Linked DNA regions of Saccharomyces cerevisiae S288C. The gene in region 1 interacts genetically with each later gene. Each region holds a gene or a part of one and is shown in the gene's direction. Other genes may lie near its edges.

Region 1 (4,574 bases):
TAGATTTATGAAACAGGCCGCTTTAAATCTAAAAAAAAACGTTGGTGTAGTCTCAGTCATTACTTTGTGTAGTTTTTGTTAATATTGATAGCATCAGTGCTCAAGAAAATAAACACTGAGAAAGATTAGTTTTTGAAAGAATTGAGATCGACCTCCCCAAGGGGTTTTCTTTCGTATGCATTGAACTTTAGGCGGTTTTCCTTGCCTTTAGGACTTTTGATAATCTCGCTATGACCGGTATTTGATAATGTTCTCTTAACAAGCACAGATTTCCTGTGGAACTTGAGCTGTCCGCCGGGCTTGCAAGGCGTTATGTGGTGGTCTTCGAAGATCGAGGACGTATTGGCAGGTGAAGTTTTCAGCAACTCTGCAGTAATAGCCTCCTTCGTACTCGTTGGCGTAGAGGTAATTTCCAACGCAGCGTCTGAGTAAGATATCATAGACATCGAATCATTAGAGTGAACTTTGCAATGGCTGGTGTTGCCACTGTTCTTGTGCTTTTTAGCAGCCTGCCTTTTGTTCTGAAACCATATTTGAACCGATTTTTCGGACATATTACATTGCTCGGATAACTCTATCCTTTTAGCCTTATTGGGCGTGGGACATTCGTCAAATGCTGTTTGCAATATCCCAAGCTCATATGATGAAGTTCTTCTTCTTTTCCGACGAGCTAACCGAGCATTGTCTATCTTAGGCTCCTTCTTTGGAAAAGTTTCCTGTGAGTGTGTAATAAAGGCAAATGACCTTTTCTTTTCTTTTCTTGTGGTTGGTGTGAGAACAGCCTTTGCAGCAGATAGAGGAGTAAGAATATTAACTTTTTTATAAGAGTGCATACTCTGAGGTGGCTGCTCTTTAGAACAGACTCTGACCGTTGGCGTGAATGGTGAATGAGAGCTCAGCTTCTTGGGCTTGGATAAAGGCGTCATGGAAGTGGTTACACGTTGTGATAAGAAATCCACAGCCTGTGGACTTTTCCTTTTTGGCCTTTCCTCATCGCAAGGACTTTTATAAATATTTACCACTGGTCTCACAATGTGCGCAGATGCAGCTAATGGTGGCAACCTGATGTCACCTTGGTCATCACTAGGGAAGTTTGTATTTGGCAAAGTATGCAGTTGGAAAGGCGAATTAGAAGTACCTGTAATAATGTTTGGTAAAGAAGGAAGCACGGTATTTCTGCTTTCCATGTTATATATATACGATATTTTGTGTTATTGTTATTTCCCTACAAATGCTAGTTACACTGGCTGGCGAGGGTAAAGAAGAAGATAATACGAATTATAATCTACGTTGGCAAGATCGGGAGGACGCCATATATATATTTATAAACATTCATCTGTGTGATCCAGATCAAACAAATAAACAATGAGTAAACGAAAAATCTGGCTGAAATGTCTCATGCTATTAACCCAATTCAGCATTGATATTAAAAATACCGACGTATCCCTGCACGGAAAGCGCGTCTGATGTTTACCATTCCGGGTTTTTGGCGCGCGTCATGTCCAAATTAGGACGTGGTTTATAGCCGAAAGAGGAAATGTGATCTGCCCACCTGTGCGGCCCTTCTCTGAGCGTTTCGAGCAGGATGCATAATATGCTCCCTTCGTACGGTAGAGGACAAATATGACCATTACCCGACTATTGAGGACATATGTCGTTATTAGAATTTAGCACCTTTAAAGTTATATTGCACTTTTAATTACCAAGATTCATTTGAGAGTGTAAAGGGTTTTATGGTAGAATACAAGTCAGAAGAAGGCTAAAATCAACAGATCAATATTTTTTTTGGTTGTTGGGTTGGAGAATTATAAAGTTTTTTTGATCTCCTTGTCTCCAGCTATTGTTTTCATTGAGTAGGGGTAGAGCTAGTTAGCTGCTTTTCGATGGTTGTAGTGGGTAAGAGTGAAGTGCGCAATGTAAGCATGAGTAGGCCGAAGAAGAAATCATTGATTGCCATCCTGTCGACCTGTGTTTTGTTTTTCCTCGTGTTTATAATTGGTGCTAAATTTCAATATGTTTCCGTTTTCTCCAAATTCTTAGATGACAGGGGGGACAACGAGTCACTTCAATTGCTCAATGACATAGAATTTACAAGGCTAGGACTGACACCTAGGGAGCCAGTAATTATCAAAGACGTAAAGACAGGGAAGGAGAGAAAATTACATGGACGGTTCCTTCATATTACCGATATTCATCCTGACCCTTATTATGTGGAAGGAAGCTCTATTGATGCAGTTTGTCACACAGGAAAACCAAGCAAAAAAAAGGATGTGGCACCCAAGTTTGGGAAGGCAATGTCTGGATGTGATTCTCCCGTTATTTTAATGGAAGAAACTCTGAGATGGATTAAAGAAAATCTTAGAGATAAGATTGATTTTGTCATTTGGACGGGTGATAATATCAGACATGACAATGACCGGAAACATCCAAGAACAGAAGCACAAATTTTTGATATGAACAATATCGTTGCTGATAAAATGACAGAATTATTTAGTGCTGGCAATGAAGAAGATCCAAGAGATTTTGATGTGTCTGTCATTCCAAGTCTTGGAAACAATGATGTCTTTCCACATAACATGTTTGCACTAGGACCAACTCTACAAACTAGAGAATATTATAGGATTTGGAAAAATTTTGTTCCGCAGCAGCAGCAAAGAACTTTTGATAGGAGTGCTTCATTTTTGACTGAAGTTATTCCAGGGAAGCTTGCTGTCCTGTCAATTAACACGCTGTACTTATTCAAGGCCAATCCGTTAGTTGACAATTGTAATTCAAAAAAAGAACCAGGTTACCAACTTTTACTTTGGTTCGGTTATGTATTAGAAGAACTAAGGAGTAGGGGAATGAAAGTATGGTTAAGTGGACATGTACCTCCAATCGCAAAAAATTTCGATCAGTCGTGCTACGATAAGTTCACGCTATGGACTCACGAATACAGGGATATAATCATTGGAGGATTATACGGTCACATGAATATTGACCACTTCATCCCAACGGATGGTAAAAAAGCTAGAAAATCGTTATTGAAAGCCATGGAGCAATCCACTCGTGTTCAACAAGGAGAAGACAGTAATGAAGAGGACGAAGAAACTGAATTGAATAGAATTCTGGATCACGCTATGGCGGCAAAAGAAGTTTTTTTAATGGGAGCGAAACCATCTAACAAAGAAGCATATATGAACACCGTCCGCGACACATACTATCGGAAAGTGTGGAATAAGCTGGAAAGAGTGGATGAAAAAAATGTTGAAAATGAGAAGAAAAAGAAAGAAAAGAAGGACAAAAAAAAGAAAAAGCCAATCACTAGAAAAGAGCTCATTGAACGCTATTCCATTGTGAACATAGGTGGTTCAGTCATTCCAACTTTCAATCCTTCCTTTAGGATCTGGGAATATAACATCACCGACATAGTGAATGACTCCAATTTTGCAGTTTCGGAGTATAAGCCCTGGGATGAATTTTTCGAGTCACTAAATAAGATTATGGAAGACTCTTTGCTAGAAGATGAAATGGACAGCAGTAATATCGAGGTTGGGATCAACCGCGAGAAGATGGGCGAAAAGAAAAACAAGAAGAAAAAGAAAAATGACAAGACTATGCCAATTGAGATGCCAGACAAATACGAACTCGGCCCTGCATATGTACCGCAGTTATTCACTCCGACGCGTTTCGTCCAATTCTACGCCGACTTGGAAAAAATCAATCAAGAATTACATAATTCATTTGTTGAATCTAAGGATATTTTCAGGTATGAGATAGAATATACCTCAGACGAGAAACCATACTCAATGGATTCGTTAACAGTAGGAAGTTATTTGGATCTTGCAGGCAGATTATACGAAAACAAACCTGCATGGGAAAAATACGTCGAATGGTCATTTGCGTCTTCTGGATATAAAGATGATTAAGTTAATATACACATAGAAATGCATATCATTCTTCAATTACAGTTTCTTTTTCTTTTGTTACACTATTCTTTCAAGTCAATTTCATAATAATACAAAACCATCTTTCTTATCATATATAGGGTGATGTATTTTTAATTATTTAATAGGGCCTAGCGTTATCGTGCGAAGATTAATTATTGGCATTTTTGAAATACTCCTTGGAATCTTTAACGTCAGGTTTGATGGTGGCGGCTCCTGGGGTCCAGTTGCATGGCAAAACTGTACCATTTTTGTCAGTCCACTGGAAACCTTCGACTAATCTCAAAGCTTCATTGACGTTTCTGCCAACAGATAAATCATTGATAGTGATATGTCTAATGATTCCCTTCGGGTCGATTATGAACAAACCTCTTAAAGCTATACCTTCTTTTTCAATCAAAACGCCATAGTCTCTGGATAAGGAATGATTCTTATCAGCAAGCAAAGGAACTTTAACTGGACCTAATCCACCGTCTTTTCTGGGAAGGTTGGTCCATGCCAGTAAGGAATATTCAGAGTCGGTGGAGGCAAATAAAACTTGGGCGCCCTGATCTTCGAATTTCTTGGCGGCATCGGAAAACGCAACAATCTCAGTTGGACAGACAAATGAAAAAGCCAATGGGACAAAAGCTAGAACAACGTACTTAC
Region 2 (5,154 bases), 740 kb from region 1:
CAAATCTCCATATGGAGCGGCCTCAATGAGTAGCAACGAGGGAAATAATTACTTGCTTCGGCTGCATTCAGTGATTAGTTAAAAAGTCGTCACCCTAAGTTTTTCTGTCGTATTTTAGGCATTTTCATTTTGAGGAAATATCGTATACCTGGTAATTGCCTATATTTTGAGATGAAGACTGTTTCTCATTTCTTTTTGGTCATCTCCTTGCAGAGCATTTGATAATATAGTAGTAATAATGAATTGTAGTCGATAAATGTTAGTTGATTCTCATTCCTATCGTATCGATAAGGAAACCTGAGAAATACCAAGGTTCAACGATAATGGCAAACATGCTTCATTAATCGGTATTCTTGATCAAATACTTCCTTGCCTGCCATACGGCATCCCTTAATCGCAAAATAGTAATATTCTTTCCAACTATATAACCGTTATTTTAACACACATTTCTCAAGAGACCCCTTTCTAGAAATGGCATGGAGTGGCAAGTATCTTCAAGCTATTTTTTAGTTGTTCATGTACTCCATAGAGTGACGGTTCTTGCAATTTCAACTAGTTTCAAGATAGTCATAAAAATTTGCAACCGAGCCCATTACTATATATATATATATACAAAAAATTTTAACATTAAACCTTGAGCTCGGGTTTTATCTCATACCAAGTATTATCAACCTTTGGCCGGTGTGTTCCTAATATGGTATCGATTTTCAAGTATACCGTGTAACATTTGGTTTTTGAATTATCCAGGGGTATTGCAAGGAATATCGTGGATCCTGCCATATGAAGGCGTGGATCTTAATTTATTCACCTTTACTGATCGTACCAAACGAAGTAAGCGTAGAAAGCTAACCAATTTCCTCTTGTTACAGAGAGAAAACTTTTCTTGTACAGTAAACTGAATATGCTACGTCGTAGACTTACAATGACGCCGCACTTAGGGATAGTAGTTACCTTGCTCACTTTACTGTCGTGATCATTACACCCGTACGTAATCGATGATCATTGCAGGAGAGGGGCACTTTGGTCTGACATCACTTTTTTTACCTAATCAAATAGATTGGCTTTTATTTGACAGATAAGGTTTATGATCTCTTTTTTCGAATGGAAAGTTCCATGCAGGCACCCTTTATCTCATTGTATTTAAACTACATATAGAATGGATGGAAACGTGGCAAGTCATATCAGGACGCTTTGAAGACTGATAATTAAAAACATTAAACAAGTTTCCAGATATCAGGAAGCGACCAAGCCAATATTCAGAACTTTCGTTTCGAAAAACACAGTAATATATTATTCTCAAAAATTACCACACTTTTTTTAGGCAAGGCTGCAAAATAATACCAGAAAAGCAGAGGCGGTTCTTAACTTCTGTGTAAATTCAGTGCAGGAGGACGGGTGTTGTGTTATTAACTTGCAAGGAAAAGAAAGTTTGTGTCTCCCCTTGTTCTACGCTAGCGAAATGGGTGTGTGGAAGAGTCAAAACTGAACCAAGAAAAAAAAAAAAAAAAAAACAAAACAGATAAAAAGATAAACAAAGGCAAGATCAAAAAGCCCTATCGTGAACGCTATCAAAGGACTTTTAAAATTCATAAATTAATAGTTCGTCCGTTGCCCTCTTGAATATAATAGAGATAGAGTTTAATACTTGCTTTTTACCTTTGCTTTTTTTTTGTATATCTCCATCTCAGCCCTAGGTAAGGATAGATACGAAGGGTTGTACAATCATGAAATTTGAAGATCGCATATTGAATAAATCAATCCCTGAATGGAAATTCTACAATATTAACTATGAGAAGTTAAAAGTAGCCATAAAAAAAGTAACGGCTTATGATTATGACAATCCAAATGATTCGGGCATGGAGAAGTTGTTGAATCAATGTTCAGTAGCCTTTGACCAGGAATTTCAAAATGTTAATTTATTTGTTTCTTTGAAAATAAAGGAAATTTCCACTCGTATTCTTTCTGTGGAATCATCAATAATCGATTTTTCAAAGGGCTTAAACAAAACTTCCAGAAACCGTTTCAACCTTCGTAAACTGAAAATCATCAACGCTCATGTAGACGATTGTAACTTTGAACTACAACTACTGTCAAGGTTTTTGATAATACAAAGGATTGCCTTGAGAAAGTTATTCAAAAAATTACTAAATGAATTTCCTCAAGACAGTGAAAATCCATTGACTGCAAGTGAGTATGTTACGTCGATCAGAAACTCTGAAAGTTTACGAAATGGACACGAAGGCATATCATTTATGAAGCTTGATTTAGATCCATATCTTTTAGAAGTTTCGCTAATTGTTGATGTTTTACATGATTTGGAAAATAAACTTGAAGATGCAACTGAGCCAGCAGTGGAGCAAAGATCCCTAAACCGCTCCGATGAATCTGCCCATACAAGTTCAAGTCCAGAAGCCAACAATTCTTCCTTGCCAGCATCTCCAAGGTCAATTCCGCTACTTTCAAACAAGAAAACTTCAAAAATGATTGATTCTTCGCTAGAATTCGATACTGCCCTCATAGATAAAGCAGAGAATCTAGGAAGGTTTTTATTATCGTCCGAGGACATAGAGGGACTGAAGTTCATGCTATTGAATATTGGTTTTAGGATAATTGACGATAGCATCATATCCACTTCAAAGGAGATTTTAGACACTACAGATAATATTAATTCTGCGGGCAACAAATCTATAAGATCAGCAAAGTCATTCAATGACTTACAACATACCTTATCCCTATCTAAACAGAAGAACATATTACCCTCTGCTGTACAATCCAATGAGAAGTACGTTTCTATTAGTATACTAGATACTGTCGGGAACGAAGGCAGTCCTTTACTACTTACTGATGATAATATAAATCAGCACCCAAACATGATAGTCAGCTCTACTGCTGAGGATACTTGTATAGTAATGTGCCACGTGGGCGGCTTAAGAAATCATGTTGTCACAAATGATCTGCTTCTAAGGGATGTAAAGAATATTCTTTCGGCCATGAGGAGTGGCAACGACACAAAAAATATTAGCGCTCTCATAAACTCACTGGATCCATCGCCAATCAGTAAGATCGCTTTGGAGTGGATTCAGTCCCATCGATTAAAAACCATTGAACCAAAGCTAGATTTTAAAAGAACAAGATTCATATCAGCAGACAATGGAGATATATACTTGATAGCTTTGGATGAATCTATCACTATTGGAAATGTATCTACATTACCCTTTCCAATTTTAGAAATTAAAAAGCTTAGTCGATCCAGTGGTCTTTCACAGACGGCTATTAATGAAGACAATAAGTTTAAACAGTTAATGAAATCAGTTGTTACAAATGAGTTTCAATGCAGCTTAATACCACCAGACTTAACCACATGGAAAATATGTTTAGAATTAGTACACTCAAATGAATTGCAAAATGATTTATTTCAACTTTTACTAAGAGATCAATATAAATTAAATTCCGATGATTCGCTATCACCTGATGAATTTTTCCAGCTGGGCAAGGATCGTCTAGAGGAAGAGTTTGACCTGACTGGGCCGATAAACAACTCACAAGGTAGTGTTGACAGCGGCAGAAGAGTTCGAATTCACAAAAAATCAAAGCAATCGGATAATGAAACTAAAAAGAAACCTATTAGGTATTGGAATGAATTTGATGAACAAGAAGAGGATAATTTAGACAATGCTTTTTACATTGATACTAATGGAAGCAGGAGTACAACAGATAACGAAGAATCCTTACTTTTGAGAAATTCTCCGCCTGATTATGGGTTTATTTTGTTTAGCCGGAATTTCATCAACCGCACATATGATTTTTGTGAGAAGTTACGAAACTTGATTCGCCATGACAAGAAAACATCGCCAGATTTGTTTCAAAACTCTAAGCATCCGCATTGTTCATCAACTAACTATGGTTCTGTTGCGTCATTTGGTTCACAATCAACTTCAGCGTCATATGATGACGTTCAAAGGTACTTACAGTATCAACAGCAAGACATAGAGGACTCACAATCTATCTACGAATATAGGCATGACGAAGTTGTTACATTTTTATACTTGTCTGCACTGCTAACATCTTGCATTATGGCAAGTGTATGTCTGGGAATCGTTTTATCCTTGTTTCGCGGGCAAAGTAATAATGAGATAGATTTAGAAATTCAAAATATTCTCATAGCCATTATTATCATTTCCTTACTGGTTTCCCTTATTTTGATCTGTGCGTGCCTGTTGTTGTTATTTAGTCGGTTCACTTTGGCGCCAATCTGGCATTATGTTGGTTGCTTCACAATGTTTTTCTCAGTTACTGGAACAGTGTGCTATGGTATGATTGAAATTTTCTTTTAATTATTTTGGACGATAAAAGTTTTTCATGTGTACAGTCTATATAAAATATGCATATCATGTGGTTACATAAGAAGAATGTTAATCTTGTTTGGAGATTTTGTTTTTGGAAACTTCGCCATTGCGAAGGGTGTTGCAAACTGAATTTCTGTTTAAGTTTTTAATTAATAATCCTTATTTTGATCTTTTCTGATGGCCGTGTTTGAACGCATAGTATTGTGAATATAAGCGAAGTGAAAACCTTTACACCTGCGGCAGATGCCATATTACTGCGCTAGTGGTGAATATTATTAAGCGTGCTATCAAAAAGAGATGAAAACGTGCTAACTAAAAAGGACTCAGATTCGTTACACACTTAGCCTCGAATAACGATCAGGATCTGTTCTAACCACAACTCCATGGACAGCATGCAATGTTTGGGCTCTTGATAACGTCCCCCCATCAGTACTATCGTATATATTAAAATCGTCTGCAAAGCTCGAAGCATCGTCGGGGATTGAACAGTTATCCAGGTTATAGTTAGTAACATTTCGGTCACTCTTGCTAATATCTTGTTCGATTTTTTCATCGGGTTCTTCCTTTTGAGCTTGGCCACTTTCTTCGTCAAAAGTATTGCCTTTAGCTAGGAATCTAAACCTACACCACCATATGAAATGAGACGCGAAAATTCCTAACTCCATTCCAGCAACTATTGAGTATAATATAATACCCATAATATCCATATTACCTAGGATAACACTGATGATAGATAGCCAAGCACCTAATGAATCGATGAATAAGAAGGCAAAGTTGATGCCAATAACACGACCTTTCCTTTTGGCTA

What was found.
Region 2: of PPN1 (region 1) and VTC5, changing one suppresses a phenotype caused by changing the other (phenotypic suppression), as found in Saccharomyces cerevisiae (one study listed by BioGRID).

Annotation. Positions count from the first base shown.
Region 1 is NC_001136.10:1,360,995-1,365,568, forward strand, and holds PPN1 (endopolyphosphatase), read left to right. Parts: upstream 1-1,883; coding exon 1,884-3,908; downstream 3,909-4,574. Other genes in the region: YHP1 (Yhp1p), read right to left, coding at 126-1,187; thioredoxin peroxidase TSA2, read right to left, coding at 4,078-4,574. UniProt on the Saccharomyces cerevisiae protein: Catalyzes the hydrolysis of inorganic polyphosphate (polyP) chains of many hundreds of phosphate residues into shorter lengths.
Region 2 is NC_001136.10:620,388-625,541, forward strand, and holds VTC5 (Vtc5p), read left to right. Parts: upstream 1-1,724; coding exon 1,725-4,334; downstream 4,335-5,154. Other genes in the region: ILT1 (Ilt1p), read right to left, coding at 4,679-5,154. UniProt on the Saccharomyces cerevisiae protein: Regulatory subunit of the vacuolar transporter chaperone (VTC) complex.